Linked DNA regions of Elephas maximus indicus. The protein of the gene in region 2 binds, or shares a complex with, the protein of the main gene of each other region. Links are inferred from orthologs where the notes say so. Each region holds a gene or a part of one and is shown on either strand. Other genes may lie near its edges. The genes, in order: nucleoside diphosphate kinase A, TREX1 and ANP32A.

Region 1 (6,933 bases), on a different chromosome or scaffold from region 2:
TTTGAAGGAGGGGAGGACAAAATCGGGGGGGGGCTCAAGTTCTCCCTTGCCTCCCTCCTCCACATCAGGTTTAAATAACTCCTTTGATTCATGGCAGCTATCCCTCCTCTCCCTCCTGTCATTTTTCACCAAATCCATGTCCTTAATAGGAAACTCAGTATAAAGGAAAAGATGTATGCACTTAGAGGTCAGAAGGACCTAGGCTAAAACCCCAGCTGCATTCCTGACAATATGCTATCAGGCACATGACTTAACTTCACCAAGCCTCAGATTCCTCATCATTGACAACCAGAAAATCAAAAACCAAACCCAATGCCATCGAGTCTAAAGGACAGAGTAGAAATGCCCCATAGGGTTTCCAAGGAGTGCCTGGTGGATTCAAACTGCCGACCTCTGGTTAGCAGCCATAGCTCCTAACCACTACGCCACCAGGGTTTCCCTAAAAATGAGAAGAATAGGAAAACCCACCTCTCGGGGTTGTCAAGAGAGATAGGTGTGAAGGCATTTGTGAGAATGCCTCTGGCAGTGCCCCCTACAGAGTAAAATGCCTGGTCAACAATACTTTCGTTTCATTTTACCTTTAAAACCTAATATGCAAAGCCTTTGGAAAGCATTCTTTGTCCAACACCTGGCTCTAATAATCCTGTCATGCTCCCCGCTCAGCACTAACTTCCATCTCAATCTCTTTATATGAAAGCAGTTTTTCTAAAACATTACACAGGAACTAAATTGCAAATTAAACTAAATTTAAAATGCACTAGGAGATGCCAAAGTTGACACCTTTAATGGAAAAACGACTGTCCTCTAATTTATTTGCATTGGGAATTTGAATTCTCACCTCTTAGATTTGTCTGAAGAAGGGTTCTTGATCGATTAATCCTTTGCATGTATTAAAATGTTGCTCTGTAGGCGTCATGCTGTTTCAGGAGAGCCTCCCCAGGGGCAAAACCAGTTCCCCCCCACACACTTCAGTGGTGCCTAATATATGCTAGACACTAAGTGGGTGGTAATTGATGGTGGAAATATTTCCTTAGTGGACATATTTCCTTGCTGAAAAACAACCTGCCTCGGAGGATGAAAAAAAAAATGTTCTCTAAAATTATCTGCTGAGGACGCTTGAGGCCAGTAGCTCAGACGTGCCCAGCAATGACTCAGAAATTACAGTGCTGCAGTAATAGGTGGAAGTCTGCATTGCTAAAGGAAAGGAGAGACTATTTTCTAAAGCCCCAAATAACATGGTTCATTCCCAGACTGGGTCACAATGCTGGGCCACTGAGGAGTTTCCAGGTTTCTGGACATTTGTGCCCACATTACCACAGAGAAGCCTAAAAAGGAGAGGAGGAGAGAAACAGAGAACTTAACCTACAATGTTCCCCTGTACTACCAAGGAATTGAGATAGGAAGAGTGGAGTCAACTTACCTGCATGAATTTCAAAGCAACAAGGCGGAATCCTTTCTGTTCAAAACGTTTGATGATGTCTCCCACGAGGCCCCGCTGGACCCCATCAGGCTTGATGGCGATGAAGGTGCGCTCACTGTTGGCCATGGCCCTGGAGATTGGCAGGTGGATGAGTGCATCGGCACTGAATATCCTACCTACATCATTATCCTTCTCAAGCTGATTACCCATAAAGCTGGTTTAAGCCCGTCATGTCAGCTCCAAGTCTCCAGTAAAATTTCAATTCCCCCCACCCCTCATCTATGAATTAATATCCCAGAATGGAGACAAGTCCAAAAACAAGGGTGGCTATTTCTATGCCATTTAATAGTGTGGCAAACTAAGGTAAGGGATGTAAAAATTAGACACTATCTTTCTCAGTAATCCAGATGGGGAACAATGATAATATGAAAATGCCATCTGGTACAGGGCAATATGAAATAAAGCTTGACTTAAGGCCACAGTCATGGTATTAGAACTGGAAGAGGTTTTAGAGACTGCTTCATTAAAACCCTTCATTTTATAGGTGGGCAAACAAGTGCAGAGTACAAGCTGGGGCCAGAATCCAGAATTCCCAGCCTCAACTTTATGCAATTATGCTACACTCTAAGATGGAGTGAATATTCTGACTACAGAACTACAGCTAATAGTAGTATCTGATATGGGACTGTAAATCCACAGATCATCATGCTGGAAGGAAGCTTAAAAACGATCTATTACAGACCTTCCCTTCACAGAAGAAATTGGACCCATGACCTGCCCTGTCTCAACACAGTGAGAAAGGAGGAGGAAGCCCCTCATCTTGGAAGACAATTCCTGGTGTGGATAGTAGCACCAATTCCTAGCTCTTAGCTCTATCTTCTTATAATTTATTTAACCTATTATAGCACCTTAACACGGTGTCTAAATTTTCCGCTTGTGTCTGTCTCACCAATGGTCTGTGACCTGCATACAGAACTGAATTACTCCGTATCTGTCCCCAGCACCTAACCACAAAGGCTAGCACTCAATATGAGCAAAGAAAATGTCTCCTCCCTCCAAGAGATAATGTGCTAGGGACTGGGTGGAAAATCCAGATTGAAGCTCGGGACAAGCATGGACTCTCCACGAGAAAATGGGGCTAAAGAACCAAAAATAGCCCCTATAAGTGTTCCTTCCCTCCCACCCGCAGCACATATACCTATCATTCATTCCACAAAGACTTGCTAAGCACCAACAATGTACCAGCCACTGTATTCGGCAGAAATAAACAGTTCATAATCCCTGCCCTCGAGACGGGGTAGGAAGAGCAGCCACGGACAAAGGCGAGTCCACGTGCCGTGGGACGTGCGCCGGCAGGTTTGCAGCTGTCGACAGACGCTCCATGGCCCTTTCCTCCCATCCGAGCCCCTTCCCTGCCTCTCAAAGTGGAACTCTTCACCCCCGACCCCACTCCTCTTCCTTTCCTTCCAGGACTCCATGCCCTTCTTACCCCTCCAGCTGCTTGGACTTCAATTCTGGCAGCTGCCGCCGGCACCGGAAACGCGCCCCTGCCCCACGTGGTTCCCTGCACGGACGCGCGCGGAACGTTTCTGTCCAAATGGGATGCCGAAGAGCCCGTTTTGCAGAACACCACTCGGCCACGCTTCCTTTTGGGGGTAGGATGGCATTCTAGGGAGCAGCCTTCCGGTGTTTAACTTCCGGCATTAGTTTCCTGCTCTTCCGGTAGCGTGAGTCCGTTTTTTTTTTCCGGTTCTGTGACTCGCTTCCTTCGTTCGCAAGCAAATTGGTTTCCCCGAGAGGGGGCGCCGAGACCTTGCATGAAGACTGAAGGGGCACCTGACAGACATGTTAACATGTAGTCGTTCCTTCTTTAGGTCAGTCATGCAATAAGTTATTTTTTGACGACAGTGGGTTTTAGTGGACCGTGTGCTATGTACCAGGCGCTATTCTGGGCACTGTGGATGTAGCAGTAAACTCTCTTGGAGCTTCTGGTGGGATTGAGAGCAGGGAAAAACAATAGGCAAATTAATTAATATGTAATAAATGTGGTATTATATAAGTGCTGTGAAGACAAAGGAAATCTTCGTGGCGTGGTTAAGAGCTAAGGCTGCTAACGGAAAGGTCAACAGTTCGAATCCACTAGGCTCTCCTTGGAAACCCTATGGGGCTGATGTCATCTGACATACTTTTTAAAAATTCATTCTGACTGCTGTATGGGGAAAGAACGGAACTGGGAACAAAATTGAAATCAGGAGTCTTCTTGGCAAAGGGTGCTGAAACAATTGGCGAACTATAGGCGAAAAAAAAAACCACGACCTAAACCTCACACCATACACAAAAATTCACTCAAAGTGGATCATAGATTTAAATGGAAAATGTAAACTATAAAACATTTTTTAAAAACAGTAAAAAAAAATCTTAAAGGATCTAGGGCAAGGCAAAGAGTTGTTAGATTTGGCACCAAACTCACAGTGCATAAAAGGGAAAATTTGCAGCTCATGAAAATTAAAAACTTTTGCTCTGTAAACACCTATGAAGAGGATGAAAAGACAAGCACTGATGGAGGAGAAAACATCTGCAAACCACATAGCTGATAAAGGCCCTGTATCTAGAAAATACAAAGAATTTTCAAAACTCAACAATGTTTTAAAAATCCAAGTAGAAAATGGGCAAAAGACAAGGACAGACTTTTCACTGAAGAGTATGTACAGATGGCAAATAATCAAAAGAAAAGATATTCAATGTAATTAACTATTGTTGTGCCCTGGAGTCAGTGCCATATGTAATAGAGTATGACCGCGCCCTAGAGTTTCCTAGGCTGTAATCTTTACAGGAGCAGATTGCCATGTCTTTTTTCCTATGAAGCAGCTAGTGGGTTCCAGCCAACCTTTCCTTTTGGTTAGCAGTCAAGCGCTGAAGTGTTGCACCACCTGGGCTCCTTTCATTAACTATTAGAGAAGTACAAATTAAACCACAATTAAATACCTTCCATAATAGCTAAAAATATAGTGACAATACCAAATACTGTTAAGGATGCAGAGAAACTAGATCACTCATACATTTCTGGTGGGAATGCAAAATGGCACAGCCACTCTGGGAAACAGTTTGGCAGTTTCTTGTAGAACTAAACATGCACTTACCATACAATCCAGCAATTGAACTCTTGGGCATTTATCCTAGCGAAATCCAAGTTTAGGTTCTAGTCACACAAAAGCCTGTACAAAATGTTCACAGAAGCTTTATTTGTAATGGCCAAAAACTAGAAATAACCCAAATGTCCTTCAGTAAATGACTGAACAAACTGTAGTACATCCGTACCATGGAATACTACTCCACAGTAAAAAAAGAACAAACTATTGATACATGAACTTGGTTGGATCTCAAGGGAATTATGCTGAGTGAAAAAAGCCAGTATCAAAATATTATATATGATATCATTCCATTTATATAACATTCTTGAAATAACAAAATTATAGAGATGGAGAACAGATTGATGATTGGCAGGAGTCAGGGGTAGGAGGAAGGGGATAATTGTGGCTGTAAAGGGGTAACAGGAGGAAGTCTTGTGGTAATGGAACAGTTCTTTTTCTTGATTGTGGTGGCAGCTACATAAATCTACACGTGTGATGAAGTTGCATAGAACTATACACACATGCACATGAATGAGTGCATGTGAAATGAGAGATCTGAGTTAAGTTCTATGGATTGTAGCGATATCAGGTTCCTGGTTTTGATATTGTACTGTAGTGAGGGAAGATGTTGCTATGGGGAAAACTAGGGAAAGTATACATGGATTTCCCTAGGTTTTTATTTGTTTTTCTTGTAACTTCTTGTAAATTTATAGTTATTTTTAAATTAAAAATAAAATTTTTTAAGTGGAATTGAAACACGTTAAGAGTACAGTAGTAGTCCAAGGGAGAGATGATGGTGGTTTGCAATAGGTGGTGACAAAGGAGATGAAGACAAGTGGTTAGTTACAGGATATATATTTACGGCAGAATCAACAGGCTTGCTGATGGAGAGGATATGGGGTGTGAGAGAAGGAAAAATAGATGATGACTCCTAGTTTTCTTTTTTTCTTGAGAGGGTGCATTAAATGTCAGTTCAATAGAGTTATTGACAAAGCATTTTCCCAGTGGTTGGAGTCCACTATACTAGTGCTTCTCAAACTTCTGTATACAAACAAATCACTTGGGAATTTGTTAAAATGCGTATTCTGATTTAGTAAGTCTGAGATGGAGCCTAAGAATTTGCATTTCTAATAAGTTCCCTCATGATTCTCATGTGGCTGATTGGTAAACTCTGTAAAGCTATATCCTAAAACCAAAACCAAACCCGTTGCCTTCCAGTTGATTCCAACTCATAGTGACCCTACAGAACAGAGTAGAACTGTCCTATAGGGTTTCCAAGGCTGTAATCTTAATGGAAGCAGACTGCAGCATCTTTCTCCCGCAGAGCGGCTGGTAGGTTAGAACTGGCAACTTTTCAGTTGGCAGCCAAGCACTTAATCACCAAGGCTCCTTATCCTAAAACTAGGTGCTTTTAAACTGATGATTTAAGCGTTACTAAGTGGGGATGATCTTGCCCAGGCAGACACTAGGGAAGGGAGTTGGGGAGTAGAAAACAGGTCACATCTCTTCTAGGAACCATGGTAATTACATGAATCCACTCTCACCCTTCTTTCTCAACGAATAACCCCCCAGGCTTCCCAAGGTAAATGTTTCTGCAAAGCAAATTATGAAACTGTCTTTGTGGAGTTCAAAGCTAGAAGAAATCTTAATAGGCATAGGAACTAATCCTGTCTCCAAAACCCTGGCAAGTGATCATCCAGCCTTGAAACCCTCAGGAATGGGAATTCACTACCTCAGGCATCATCAGATCATTCCTTTCCTCTGGCCCCCCATCCATTCCCTGCTAAATATACCTGCTAATTCAGTGTATTCACAGCTCAAAATAATAATAGGAGTAATGTTTAGTGAACTGCATTAACAGTATCAAACATTGTGGCAAGAGAAAGAGCAACCACTGGGCTGTCTTGATGGGGTAGGGAAAGATTTTATAGAGGTAGGATTTGGATACACAGAAAGAGGGTAGTTAGTAGATAAGGCTGTAGGTATTGGGGGATCAGGGAACTAGTCAAAAACAAAGGATGCAACCAGGAAAAAGTAGTAAATTTCTGAGAAACTAATTAGACACTCCCAACAGAATCTTATGGAACAGAGGGGATAAGGTCATCAGATTACTGACAAGCCTTGAATGCCGGCCTGGGAAGTTTAGACTTTGTTGTTTTAGGTGCTGTCAAGTTGGTTTCGACTCTTATCAACCCTATGTGTAACAGAAGGAAAGGTGCCTGGTAAAGCACCACCCTCACAATCATTGCTATGTTTGAGCCCGTTGTTGCAGCTGCTGTGTCAATTTATCTCGTTAAGGGTTTTCCTTTTTTTTGCTGACCCCCTACTTTACCAAGCATGATGTCCTTCTCCAGGGACTTGTCCCTCCTGATAACATGTCCA
Region 2 (6,171 bases):
CCTGCATCCTCAGACCTAGCGCAGAGCCTGGCTCACTGTAAGCACTCAGGCATTATTTGTTGAGTGAATAAACCCTGTTTTAAGGTAGGGAAACTTGTCTGCAGCTCCATGGGGAGCATGCTGGTGGAGAAGGGTGGCTTTCAGGCCATCTGTCAGTCTCCTGAAACATTGCCCTTCATCGCTGTCTCATACCACCTCGACTCAGTGATTCTCTTCAGAATTCCTTTATGCTTTCCATGCTTAAGCTGAACCCCCCTACACGCAGCTTCCTGTCTACCTTGGGCTTAAAGCTTGGGTCAGGAGGCTGTCGAGGCTCGAAAGCAGCGTGATGCAGTACAGGTAACCAGGAAGGCTGCGGCACCTTCTGTTCCTCGATAGCCTTAAAAGGGAGGTCGTCGCCCATCCAGTCTTTAAAGCGATCATCCCTCTTATCCTTGTCTTGTTCCTACTGCATCTGTTACAGCCCTAGGGGTCCAGGGTTGTCCCCCAGGGACTGGGACAGCAGGGGGTTCTGAGCAAATAGGACTCACCCCCTTCGAATATAAAATTTCATTTAAAAAGAAGGTTCTGATGCTATCAAAAAGTAGGTTGGAAACCACTGTGTTGTATATAAAGGGGTTTTTTTCCTTGAAGATAGTTTCAGGGGCTATAGTGCACTAGTTTGGAGCCCTGGTGGTACAGTGGTTAAGAGCTCAGCTGCTAACCAAAAGGTCAGCAGTTCAAATCCATCAGCTGCTCCTTGGAAACCCTATGGGGTAGTTCTATTCTGTCCTATAGGGTCTCTATGAGTCAGAATCGACTCGACAGCTTGCCTGATGAAATCAGGTAACAACCAGGTTAAATTTCAATCTCCCACAAAGTCCCACACTCCCTGGCCATTGAAGACCGTTTCTCACACCATGTTATGACATCATGCCTGTTTGGGGGCAGAGGCAGGAAAGCCTGGGAGCTGAGTGTGGGCCAGGCTCCAGGTCCAGGGAGTCCTCCCATTCTCTGAAGAATGCTGGGCCAGGTGAGGGCCTGACAGCCTTCCACCTCAGCAGACCTGCGGGGAAGGTTAGTCCCCACATTTTCACATGACGAGTTTTGTAACAAGTGGGTGGTGGTCAGGCCAGCGTTTGAATCCAGGTCTGAACATTGTCTCTTCATTCTGCCCTACTCAGGTTTTAAAGGAGCCCTGGTAGCACAGTGGTTAAGTACTTGGCTACTAACTGAAAGGTTGGTAGTTTGAACCCGCCAGCCACTGGCAGGAGGAAGACATGTCAGTCTGCTGTAAAGATTTACAGCCTTGGAAACCCTATGGGACAGTTCTACTCTGTCCTCTAGGGTCACTATGAGTCAGAATTGACTCGACAGCAATGGGAACAGGTACTCTGATTTTTGACCACTAGTGAAAAGCAAGGGTGATGAACTGTGGAATTGGGGTTGGGGAGTGTCATGTCTCTCTGGACCTGTTTTTTAGATTCCAGTGTGTGTTCCGGGTGCTGCCACAGTGCCTCAGCCCAGAAACGCCCATCCCCAGCGTGCTGTTGACTGTAGAGCTCCTCTCCCTGCTGGTGGACCACGAGAAGCTTGCCCCTCAGCTCTGTGCCCATTCGGGTAAAGCCAGGCGGGGCGGACAGCTGGACTTCGGCGGACTGGAGGGAGGGTTGGGACAGAGTCAGGGGCCTCCTGAGGCGCCTGCAGCTTGTCCCCCAGCTCTGGGTGAGAAGGGCACCCTGAGTGAGAAGTGGGGCATCCTTTGCAGAGGGCTGCCTCCTCCTGCTGCTGTACATGTACATCACGTCAAGGCCTGACAAAGTGGCCTCGGAGAGACAGTGGCTCCAGCTGGAACAAGAGGTAAAAGTTCCAGACCCCACTGTGGACTGCTCACCACCTCTGCCTCAGGGCCCACAAGCCTCCTTTCTCTGTCCTTCCCGGCCCAGGGAGAAAGGGACCTTTAACTCATTTTGGTAATCAGCTTATCAAGCATCTAAGGAGGTGAAGTCAGTTTGGGGTTGCCACACCACACAGATAGGATAAAGGTGCATCCCAGTTGTCCTGGGACTTGGCAGACCTGCCTGGTGACTGATCCTATCCTGGCTTTGAGTCCTGGTAGCCAAAACGACCTGGGGGCAGGTGGGTTGTTGGTGAGACACAGGCGTGGGTCCTGAGTCTGGCCTGGGAAGGCCCCACGACACCACACCTAGACCCCATTTGTGCAGATAAGCAGTTGCCAAAGCAACTGGAGCTCTTAGGAGAAGCCAGGCAAGGCCCTGTCTGTCTTGGTCTCACTCCGCTGGGGATGGAACTGCCTCATTCTTCTTCTAGGTGGTGTGGCTCCTGGCAAAGCTTGGTGTGCAGAGCCCCTCCCCAGTCACTGGCTCCAACTGCCAGTGCAACATGGAGGTGAGTGGCCAGGGGCAGGTAGCAGCCAACAATGTGGCAGCTCTGCAAGTGGGCAAGGTGGCCCTGTGCAAGGACTCCGTACTCCTAAACCTGGTGCCCACCACTCAGAAACCTCCTCACCTGGGATGCTGGGAAATGTGCTGCCCAGCTGAGCAGGTTTTTAGGCACAGGAAGCTAGGAGACTTGACCCCCTCCCCCATCAGGTGGTGAGAGCGCTCACGGTGATGCTGCACAGACAGTGGCTGACAGTACGGAGGGCAGAGGGGCCCCCAAGGACTGACCAGCAGAAGCGGACAGTGCGGTGTCTGCGGGACACAGTGCTGTTGCTGCACAGCCTGTCCCAGAAGGACAAACTCTTCACTGTGCACTGCGTGGAAGTCCTGCATCAGTATGACCAGGTGATGCCAGGGGTCAGCACACTGATCCGAGGGCTCCCTGATGTGACAGACTGTGAAGGTGAGCAGGCAAGAGGATCTACTCACACGTGGGGTTTTCCCTGAAGCTTATGGACAAGGTCGACTTCCTGGCCTCACTTAGCAGTCCCCTCCCCCATCTGTCACAGCCTTTCCTGCCCTGGGGACATGCTCATTGTCTTCCTGCTTTGGTTCTTCTCTGATCACACTGGGCTGCCTTTTGCTTGCATCTGTTGAGTTGGCCTGGCAAAGCCACGGTTTTTCCAGAAGTATCCCTGTCTGAATTGCCTTTGTATCACTTTGCTTGCAGTAGCTGAGGGAGCAAGGCCTGGGCTTGGAAGGGACTGGTTAGTTCCTGCCCGCGCTGGGGGAAGAGAGGCGGGACCTCCCCCAGCCCCCAGCACCTTCCCATCTTCACCATAGAACCCTTTTCTTTCTGGCTCAGAGGCAGCCCTGGATGACCTCTGTGCTGCCGAGACCGATGTGGATGACCCCGAGATGGACTGTGCCTGAGGCCCGTGAGCATTGCCAGCACCACCATTTTCCTCCCTTCATTAACTGATTAAAAGCAGTGAGGGGCTGTTGGGCCGAGAACACCAGCTTCGGTGTTGTGTTTCCTGAGTCTTCTTGGCTGAGTGGGCGGGATGGCACAGGGACCCAGAGAAGAAAGGCTGAGATCCTTCCTTCTGTCCCTGGCTAGAGCTGAGATCCCATCCCCATGGTAACTAATCTGCCATAAAGAGCACTGCCCTGCTTATAGAATTGCCCTGAGTCATTGTTTTGGGCTAGGGCCATGGGAAGAAACCTTCGTGTGGCAGAGGAGGGCCCCTCACCCTAGACGTAAACTAGGGAGGCCTGGGAAAGTGGGCCAAGGTGTGGGTGCAAAAGGGCCAGGCCAGGGGCTCCCAGCAGTGCCAGAGCTAGTCTTGGAGCTAGCCTCCCAGGACTGCCTGGGCACGGTGTCCTCAGGTGGCGCTCTCACTGGGGTGAGCACCCTGGTGCACTGTGCACAGGCCCACAGCTGTGCATCTGAGAAGTCCTTGGGGCGCCACTGCAGGGAGGGAAGGAATGACTGGGAAGCGAAGGGCGCTGGTGGGTGGCCTAAACCCAGCCGGCTTAAGAACTGGGCGGGCCTTGCTCACGTGGGCACGTAGGCGGGTCTTAGTCCTGCGGCGGGGCGGGGGCAGGGCCTAGGCTGCGTTTCACTTCCCGCCACTGCTGGCCAGCCCCAGAACCAGACGGAGGGTGTGCGGCCCTGATTGCGGCTTGTTTCCGGTGAGTGCAGACCCCCAGGGAGATCCGCGGGAGGAGGAGAAGGCTATGTAAGATGTCCATGGGTGCTACCCCCGAGGTGGGCATTAGGGGAGGCGCCAAACTCATGTGAAGGAGACCCCCACACACAAACCCACAGTTGAGTGCTTTTGGCACTGAGGAAGCCACCCCACCCTCTCTGAGCCAGCTTCCTGCCCCCACCCCACCCCCACCATCGATCTTTCTACTGGGGCACTCACCCACCCCACCCCTACCCCATGTTCCTCCCCAGGCTCAGCAGCAGGTACTAGTCCCTTCCATGGGCTCACAGGCCCCATCCTGGGGTCCTATGCAGACTCTCATCTTCTTGGACCTGGAGGCCACTGGCCTGCCCTTCTCCCAGCCCAAGGTCACGGAACTATGCATGCTGGCCATCCACAGATGTGCCCTGGAGAACACCCCCAGCCCCCAGGGGCCGCCTCCCACCGTACCTCCGCTGCCGCGCGTGGTAGACAAGCTCTCCCTATGCGTGGCTCCTGGGAAGGCCTGTAGCCCTGCGGCCAGCGACATCACGGGCCTGAGCACAGCTGCACTGGCAGCACATGGGCGTCAGCGCTTCAATGTCAACCTGGTCAACCTGCTCCGAGCCTTCCTACAGCGCCAGCCACAGCCCTGGTGCCTCGTGGCACACAACGGGTACCGCTATGACTTCCCCCTGCTCCAGGCAGAGCTGGCTGCACTGGGCCTTGCCAGTGCTCTGGACGGCGCCTTCTGTGTGGACAGCATCACTGCCCTGAAGGCCCTGGAGCATGCCAGCAGCCCCTCCGAGCGCGGCCTAAGGAAGAGCTACAGCCTGGGCAGCATCTACACACGCCTCTTCGGGCAGGCCCCACCAGACTCACACACAGCTGAGGGGGACGTCCTGGCCCTGGTCAGCATCTGTCAGTGGAGGCCGCAGGCCCTGCTGCAGTGGGTAGATGCTCATGCCAGGCCTTTCAGCACTGTCATGCCCATGTATAGGGTTGATGCCTCCACTGGGACCGACCCAAGGCCATCAGCTGCCACGGCCACTGTGACCCTGGTCACAACCAGGGACACTAGTCCCAACCTTGGTGGGGACAGGAGCCCCAAGAGTCTTCTTCACTTGGAGGGCCCTGGAATCCTACCCAAGGAGGGGCTGCTGGCCCCACTGGGCCTGCTGGCCTTCCTGACCTTGGCAGTAGCCACACTGTATGGGCTGTCCCTGGCCACAACTGGACAGTAGGGCTGAGGAAGAAAATCTAATAAAGACCCCCAGCGCCAGTGAGTGGTCATTTGCTTCCTGACACACTGTCCTCTGGGGTGGGGAACACAGAAGGGGACAAGTTTCTGTTTCTCCCCAGCAGGAAGTCTGAGCCCAATAAAAGTAGGAAGAAACTTGGTCAAAATCACGGAAAATCCAAGTGGTGGGAAGAAATGGTACACAGCCTAATGCCCAATCCCTGCAGCCAAGGCTATGAAGAAAGAGGGAAGCAGTTCCAAATGTTGGCATTTATTATAAACAAGGGTGCAGACCCCACAACATTTCTCAGAAACATAGCAGCAGATACAAAGCTAAGACATTTCTGGTGAAACAACAGAAGATAAGAACACCAAGTTACTCATGTCTGGGCCTGAGCTGCCACCCGCAGCCCCGCCCCACCTTTGGTCCAGAGAGCCTCTCGGTCCAGGTGTCCCGCTGCCAGGATGAATTGTGGACTGAGGTACAAGGAGTTCAATGTTCCGGGGGGCTGGTGTCAGGGGAGTAGGGACAGAAAGGTCAGACCACACCTCTCTGTCGGCCAATTTCCCCCCAGGACCCAAGAGTTTCAGCCTCACGCAACTGTCACGCACGTTACCAACCAGAACATGGGACAAAATACTTGGCCAAAAATAAAAACAGAGCAGGGAGGAGACCTGAGTCTGTTTTTGGACAGAGGCCATCCTGCCCACTATGGCAAGGGCCAGGGCCAACAAGGGCAAGAGAGCTTCTCCACAGGCAGCTAGAACTGTGGGTGGACATGGGCCTCCAGGTGGTCCCAGGGAGGGTGCAAGGACAGTCCAGGCAGACAGCTCTCAGGTGCTGAAACTGGCCCTGAGA
Region 3 (7,530 bases), on a different chromosome or scaffold from region 2:
AAAACGCCTGGAGGAGGAAAAACGAAAAACGGAGAGAAGTGGGGCGGGGGAAGTAGGGAGCGCGACTGGGGTGAGGGGAGCACTTGCCGGGAGGACCGTCGCCCTCCCGATTCAACCGCCGCTGCGACGCTCCGGCGAAACCTCGGGCTGTAGGCGTGGGGAGAGAATCCCCATCGGGGCCCCGAGAACGATTTGGGGTCCCCTGTGCCGGCCCCCCCCCCCCCACTGCCTCCGTGCCCGGGGCCGTCGGGGCAATGGCGCAAGACTCCGCTCCCCCCCCCACAGCGACAACATCCACGGTGACAAAATGGCAGCCCGGCGCCCGGCAGTCGTGCCACAGGCGCGCAAGGCCTTGGCGGCTGCCCTCGCCCCCCCAATAACGCCTCGCGCCCCTCGGGCTCGGCCCCAGGCTGGCCTGCTTGTGAAAAAAAATCCTAAATTAAACACCTCGCGCTCGGAACCACTCGGGAAAGCGCGAGGCGGGGCCGGGGGCCGAGGCGGCGCGCCCGCGCCCCGGCCCGCGCGCACGGCGTCCCGGCCGCCCCGGCGCCCCGCCGCATGGAGCGGGCGCCCGCATTCCGAGCCCCGCGCTCCGCGCCCGCCGCGCCGTGGGGGAGGGGCGGGGCGGGCCGCGAGAGACCCGGGGAAACATGGCTGCTCGTCCTAGTTCGGCGTCGCGGCGTGGCCACCAGCCGCCGGAACAGAGTTGGGAGAGGCTCCGAAGGTGGGTGTGTGGGGGCCCGGGGGCAGCGCGGCAGGGAGGGGTGCAGGCAGCGCTCTCCGGGAGCTATTTGCATTTAGGACATTTTAAAAGAAAACAGTTCCTCCTCCCCCACCCCTTTTGTCCCTCATTAGGTAGCCTTTTCCCCCTCCTATCCAAATATGCAGAAAGTGTCCTCTCAACCCCCATCCGCTCCCCACCCCTCCTCAAGGCCGGGGGCAGGCGAGTGGGCAGGGAGACTAGGAGGCGAGGGGGCGAAGCGTGAGAAATCTCTCCCAGTTCGGCGCGTCGCGCTCCCCTCCCCCAACACACACACCACACACACACACACACACACAGAGACACACACTCGGTGAAGTTTAAAGAGCCGGTTCGACCCGCTTTCGATCTCGCTCCCAATTGGCCAGCAATGTGTATAGGGTTCGTCCGGCGAACCGCGCCCCCACACCGAGCAGCTGCGACCCCGGCCCCCTACTTGGCGCCCTTCCCCCTCCGCACCGGGGGCTTCCGGAAAGTACGCGGGAAGACCGCGGCCTCCAACCCCCTCCCCCATCACCACACCCAGCCCCAAATCCTCCGGCCCGGGGTCCAAGCTGGGATGATACCGGCCAGAGAAAGAAAACCGCCAGCGAATTGTTCGCGGAAACTCCTGCTTTCTCCGGCGGCCATCCCCCAGCCCTGCGCGCCATAAGGCACTCGCTCGTCTCCAGTCCACAGCTGCGTTATGATGGGGGTGGGGGCACAAAAAGGCTCTTGTTTTCAAAAGTCACACTCAGGTTTGGGGGAGGAACTAGGGAAAAGGGGAAGCAAAGCCGACCTCCGCCAGGGATTCGGGTTTTAGCGGGTTAGAGAGGCGACAGGTCAGCGCACAGTGCTACCCAAATTCCCAACTCTGCGCAAACACGGCCACCGAGGTTATAGAGGGTCCTCCTCGCCCGCCCGCGCGCCCCAGATCTCCCCGCAGGGCCACGAGGGGAGTCGGCCAGCGTCTTCGCCCCGGGCCTGGGGGTCTCCTCCGCTGAGCCAACTCGCATAAAACACTCATGTTTGCACGCGGGAGGCAGACCGAAATAAAAACGAGCGTGCAAGTAACCCACCCTCACTGTCCCCTCTCCTAGGAGTGGGCTTTTGCCAGAGCCTCCCGGTTCCCATCCGTGTAAGTTTTCTCCGGCCGGACTCCTTCCGCTGCCCAATCAATAACGGCGAAGAGAAGGCAAACTCCGTCCCGGAGCTGCGTGTTTTCTATGCCCGCATAAACCTGGACCCAGCCAATACCCAGCACCAGCTCTGGGCAGCTCGCGTCCTGACAAAGTTTCCCGTGCCCATTTATGAACCAGGCGCGAATGGCTGCCAAAGAGCCCACCCCAGAGAAAGCCGGGCTGGGGGCTCGTGTTGACGGGGAGGCGAGGCTCCGAGGCTGGCATCTTAGGGAGGCCGGAAGGAGCTGGGGCGAAGGGGTCCGGGACGTAGCCTCTCGGTAACTTGCAACAGTGGTGGCTCGAGGTGGGGAGGCGCGGGGATTATCTGTGCCTTTCCACGTTCGAAAATCCCTCCCCCCGCCTTCTAATTTATCCTCCCTTCCGAAGGAAAGGAAGAAACATCAGCATCTGGCCCGAAGGTGGGGTGGAAAGAGTGAGAGAGAAAGAGGAAAGGAAGGGAGGCAGAGAAAGGCAGGGAGGGAGGGAGAGAAAGGGCGCGTTCACGAACACTACAAAGTTACAAATATGGCTCCCCCGTCTCTCGCCTCATCACTGCAAAGAAATGAAGACGCACTTTAAACTCGAGCCATTCCCAACTCCACTGCAGCCCCCTCCCCACGCGCTGTCCCCGGGGGCCTCGGCCCACATTTATCTGAAACTAAACTGGACTCGCGAAGCCCAAAACTTATTGTGTGTGAGAGAGAGAAAGGGAGGGGGAAGGCGCGGGAGGGGGGGCGCGGAAGGAGGGCTACGTTTATAAAACATAAAAGCCCCTTATTTTTGTTGTTAAATCCAGGAGGCAGCCCCTGTCCTCCCCCTCCCTCGTTAATCTTTCCCCCCGACGGAGTCACGGGAGCAGCGAGCTCAGAGGGTGATTTTCCCTCATTCTCTCCGACCCAAACGCGTGCGCCCGCTGGCCCCTGATGGGTGCACATTCGCACGCACACTCGCACCCACACTCGCACACTTGGACGCGCACACGCGGGAGCACACGCACAGGTAGTCACACACCAAGGGCAGCGGCAGCAGCAGCCGGAACATGCTCGGATGGCATTGCAATCCCCCAACCCTGCAATTCATTTGCAGTCCGACTCTCAAACCCACACCTTCTGGGCGCCCCCCTCTCAAAAAACAGTGCCTCCCCCCCAACACAGACAGACAAAGTAGGAGAATGGACCGACAGAGATATTTTTGGCAAATGCTCACATCAGAGGGCGTCCTGTTCCGCAGCTCTAAATGAATCCGTTTGTCCATTTCCATCTCTCGCTTGCTCTCTCTGCAGAGGCTCCCGCGCCGGCGGAATTCAATCAATAAACCCCGAACCCACGGCCGCGCGTTTTAGGACTTTGAAGGCTCAACCAGCTCCGCTCGGTTCTCGAGCCCCCAGCACCCGCAGCGCACACTAACCTGATCGCCGTGGAGGCGGGACCTGCGGCCCCGAGGACGAGTGGCAGCAGCCAGAGCCAATCATCGCCGAGGGTCTCCGGGCAACAGCCCATGGTGGCGGCGGCGGGGGGGAAGGGACCAATGGGCGGGCTGCGCAGCCGGCCAGGGAGGCTCAGCCATTTGGTTGTGGTGCCGGAGACGGACCCCTTTAGATTTCGGGGCGGCCGAGGAGCGCGGTGGCTGCTCGGTGGCTGAGCGAGGGGGGTGGGCGGAATGGCGGGGGAAGGGAAGGTGACTGTGCCTCGAGGGCCGAGCCTCCCGGTCGCGCCAGTCCGCCGCCGCCTCAGCGTTTGGCCGGGGGCGGGGCCGCAGGTGCGTTACACGGGGGGAGGGGCGCGGCCGGAGGGGTCGGGTCGGGGTCCCCGCCGGGCCCCAGGCTTAGCGCGGCCGCTCCGGCCCGCCCGATGGGGTTGCGAAAGGAGGCGGGCGGCGCGAGGTCGGGGTCCGCCGGCTGCCCTTCGGGCTGGCCGGGGGAGGCCCGGAAAGGGGGGAGGGGTCAAGGGTGCAGCTGGGCGGAGGGGCTGGTCATTTTCTGGGTCCGGAGGGCTGAGCTGGAGGAGCGTGGCCGTCCCCCTCCCGCCACACACACACACTTGGTGGCCGCGGCTCAGCCCAGCGCTCCCCTTTCCCTCGGCCAGGGCCATCGCTGCCTCTCAATAAATAAGAAAAGCAAAATGTTTCCTTCCACTTTTGGATGACTTTACCGTGCGGTCTCGACCCTCTCCGTAGGGAACAGCGTGGGGGGGGGTGGTCACCAAGAGGCACCAGGGTCTTGTTTAGACAGTATATGAAGACCATGAACTTGGAATAAGAACTGTTGATAAATGTATATAGAACATTAAAACGTGCAAAAGGAAGGTGCTATTATAACTCCTGGGTTTCTGGGCCAAAAATAATTTATGGGGTTTTATAGACATAGTTGAAGGAAACGGTGCAGTTCATTTTAATCGTCCATTTGAGTCATTGGTTAGATTTGGCTTACCAGGGAGGCTCTACTTGGAGCATTTTCACCAGGTGTTTTTGCTTTACCTGCTTTTAGTTTGAATCACATTAGTTTTAAGAGACCTTAAAGTCTTAATTCTCACTGGGTTACCAACTACTTACGGCCAGGCCTAGACCTTCGTGTACTAAATTGGCTGCCTATGGCTTTTAATAAATCACAGGAATTGTTAACAAGGACAGATACAGGCGACATCCTGCAACTTAACACTTTATTCAGTAAATTCTTCTTTCAGATAGAATAGTAATAAATGGAATTTAAAAACTGATAATGCTTACCCTTTGAGTAGTTGGGAAATGCAAAATAAAAAAGGCATTTTAATCGATTTGGGTGTACCTAGAATAATTTTAACTTGCTGGCTTAGCTGACATACCTGTCATCTTTAGTTTTGTTAATCTCATTTTAGCTTGGCTGCTAACCAAAAGGTCAGCAGTTTGAATCCACCAGCCACCCCTTGGGACCCTATGGGGCTGCTCTACTCTGTTCTATGGGGTTGCTATGAGTTGGAATCGACTTGCCGGCAATAAGTGTGGTTTGGTTTGCATAGTTGGAATTTTTTTTTTTTTAATGGTATTGGTTTCTTTTTAAAACATAAGGAAGGACCCCAAATTATCTCTTTTACCATTGAGTCAGTTATTTCTGAATATGGTATTTAAGGTTGTTTCAAAACAGACCTCTGGAAAACATCACAAACACATTAAATCAATAAGGTGTGTAGCATCTATGTAACATAGTAGCCCTGACGTTTATGTTCTAAGTGGTAAAGACTCATCTTCAACTTAAAACGTTTACCACAGTTAAAATGGGATATGGGACAGTACCTTTGCAGAGGAGGGATCCCTCAAAAGCCATCCACTCAAGTGCAGAGATGTGTCCCATCCAATACTCTGAAACAGAAGCAGATAGCTTTAGAGTGTAAGAACGGGAGAGTATGGCTTGGAAGCTCAAACCCCCTTTAAAGAGTGCACCTGAACAAATTAAGATACGGAAGAGCCCTTCATAGAGTGGTAATGTTTAGAATTGGAAAAATTGCAGCCTGATCACTATATCAAAATATGAAATGTAACACAGTTGTTTTTAAAAGCATCTTGCCCTTTAAAATTTTAACTGCTTTTGTATTAGTGTTAGAAAATTGAAAGAATGCTTTCCTGGATATCTGTCAGTATAGAATTTGAAATATCAAAAAAGGCTCCATAACTAATTGAATACTTAACTTTTTTCCACATACTTTGAAAGAAGAGACTTCCTCTCACTTTCGCAGACAGAAGTTAATGTTTGTAGTTTATTTCTAAGGAGCCCTGGTGGCACAATGGTTAATGTCCAGCTGCTGACCAAAAGGTCAGCAATTCAAACCCACCAGCAGCTCCAAGGGGGAAAAGACCTGTCGATCTGCTCCTGTTAAGATCACAGCTTAGGAAACCCTATGGGGCAGTTCTACTCGGTCCTATAGGGTCTCTCTGAGTTGGTGTTGACGGCGCACAGGAAGTTTATTTCTAAGAAAATTTTCACGTGGTACTGATTTAATTGTCAAAAGGAAACAGACATAGCTCGGGTAAAACTGAGCCATCAAAAAAATCAAAACATCAAAAAATATTTGCTCTTATATTCCTTATTTACTAGGGTTGTTTCTTAGATTACATTTTATTGCATACTATAAACCAAAAAAACCAAACCCAGTGCCATCGAGTCGATTCTGACTCGTAGCGACCCTTCTATAGTAGTAAAGAAATGCTCTGAATGGCTCTGCAAATCGGAAGATAATAGTAAAAGAAGCCCATACCAAGGACTCTTGCTGAATTTTGATGTGGAGTTGGAACAGGGTGAGTTCCTAATTGCTGAGTGATTCTGCAATAGGAGTTAGGTTATGAGAGGTGTAGAGTCTGTGACTTCTGTAACTGGGCTTGATTCACACTGGAAAGAATGAGACAGTTTTGAGCCCTGTCATGGATTGAATTGTGTCCCCTAAAAATACGTGTCAACTTGGTTAGGCCATGATTCCCAGTATTGTGTGACTGTCCTGCATTGTGTGATTGTAATTTTATGCTACAGAGGATTAGGGTGGGATTATTACTCCCTTACTAAATTCACATCCCTGATCCGATGTAAAGGGAGTTGCCCTGGAGTGTGGCCTGCATTATCTTTTATCTTACAGGAGATAAATGGAAAGGGAATCAAGCAGAGTGGGAACCTCACACCACCTGGAAAGCAGCACCAGGAGCAGAATGTGTCCTTTGGACCCAGGGTTCCTGCATGGAGAAGCTCTTAGTCCAGGGTAAGATTGATGATAAGAACCTTCCTCCAGAGTGGCCAGAGAAAGCCTTCCCCTGGAAAAGACACCCTGAATTTGGACTTGTAGCCTACTGGACTGTGAGAGAATAAACTTCTCTGTGTTGAAGCCATCCACCTGTGGTATTTCTGTTATAGCAGCACTAGATGACTAAGACAAGCCTCAAGGAAGAAAGATGGTTCTCAAGTTAGAAAAGATATCTTTCTGTCTTGCAGAATATTTCCCATCAAGAACCATTCCAAACAAATGAGCAGCCTATCTTGTACTCAAAGAGGGATGAGGAATGGGTGTCCTTAGCCTATCTTGATAAGTGTTAGAAAGTATTGTTTTATAAATACCCACATCATTGCTGCTGCCATGTTGGCTCAATTGCCCTTGTTTGGTCTCTAAAGACGGAGACCCTCTACTGAGCATCCTTTCCATGAGTGAGGTTAACGTATTCACCATTCAGCTTTTTGTTCAGCTTGAATCACATACACTGGAACCTGGCCATTGTATTCTTTTACCTACATCATGGTTCTGCTGCTTAGACCCCAAAAACAATGATATGGGAAGACTCCAGCTTAATTATGTTCTCCTTTGTGTTTCTATATAAATAGCTTTTAGAAATATATTCTTTTGAAATCCAGGGTAACAAATGTGAAGACTACTGCATTTTGATATGAATAGCAAAGGAATGTTGAGGCCCAGGATCTAAAAAGTTACTTATTCTTAATTTTCTTGTACTTAACAAAGCATTGGATGGATTTTTTTTTTTTAATTGTGCTTTAAATTTTTTTTAAATGAAAGTTTACAAATCAAGTCCGTCTCTCATACAAAAAGTTATACACACCTTGGTATGTATTCCTAGCCGCACTCCCCCTAATGAGACAGCACG

Evidence for each region.
Region 1: TREX1 (region 2) and nucleoside diphosphate kinase A share a complex: the UniProt entries of both Homo sapiens proteins name them as parts of the SET complex. The link is inferred for Elephas maximus indicus from reciprocal best matches to the Homo sapiens genes TREX1 and NME1.
Region 3: TREX1 (region 2) and ANP32A share a complex: the UniProt entries of both Homo sapiens proteins name them as parts of the SET complex. The link is inferred for Elephas maximus indicus from reciprocal best matches to the Homo sapiens genes TREX1 and ANP32A.

The regions. Positions count from the first base shown.
Region 1 is NC_064837.1:42,629,528-42,636,460, forward strand, and holds the start of nucleoside diphosphate kinase A, read right to left. Parts: upstream 3,054-6,933; 5' UTR 2,910-3,053; intron 1,551-2,909; 5' UTR 1,547-1,550; coding exon 1,421-1,546; intron 1-1,420. UniProt on the Homo sapiens protein: Major role in the synthesis of nucleoside triphosphates other than ATP. The ATP gamma phosphate is transferred to the NDP beta phosphate via a ping-pong mechanism, using a phosphorylated active-site intermediate.
Region 2 is NC_064838.1:53,003,844-53,010,014, forward strand, and holds TREX1 (three-prime repair exonuclease 1), read left to right. Parts: upstream 1-3,984; 5' UTR 3,985-4,076; intron 4,077-4,344; 5' UTR 4,345-4,371; coding exon 4,372-5,316; 3' UTR 5,317-5,644; downstream 5,645-6,171. Other genes in the region: ATRIP (ATR-interacting protein), read left to right, coding at 1,463-1,599, 1,748-1,839, 2,311-2,388, 2,592-2,844, 3,247-3,314. UniProt on the Homo sapiens protein: Major cellular 3'-to-5' DNA exonuclease which digests single-stranded DNA (ssDNA) and double-stranded DNA (dsDNA) with mismatched 3' termini. Prevents cell-intrinsic initiation of autoimmunity.
Region 3 is NC_064831.1:58,980,606-58,988,135, forward strand, and holds the start of ANP32A (acidic leucine-rich nuclear phosphoprotein 32 family member A), read right to left. Parts: upstream 3,062-7,530; 5' UTR 1,411-3,061; coding exon 1,327-1,410; intron 725-1,326; exon of another isoform or gene 542-724; intron 1-541. UniProt on the Homo sapiens protein: Multifunctional protein that is involved in the regulation of many processes including tumor suppression, apoptosis, cell cycle progression or transcription. Promotes apoptosis by favouring the activation of caspase-9/CASP9 and allowing apoptosome formation.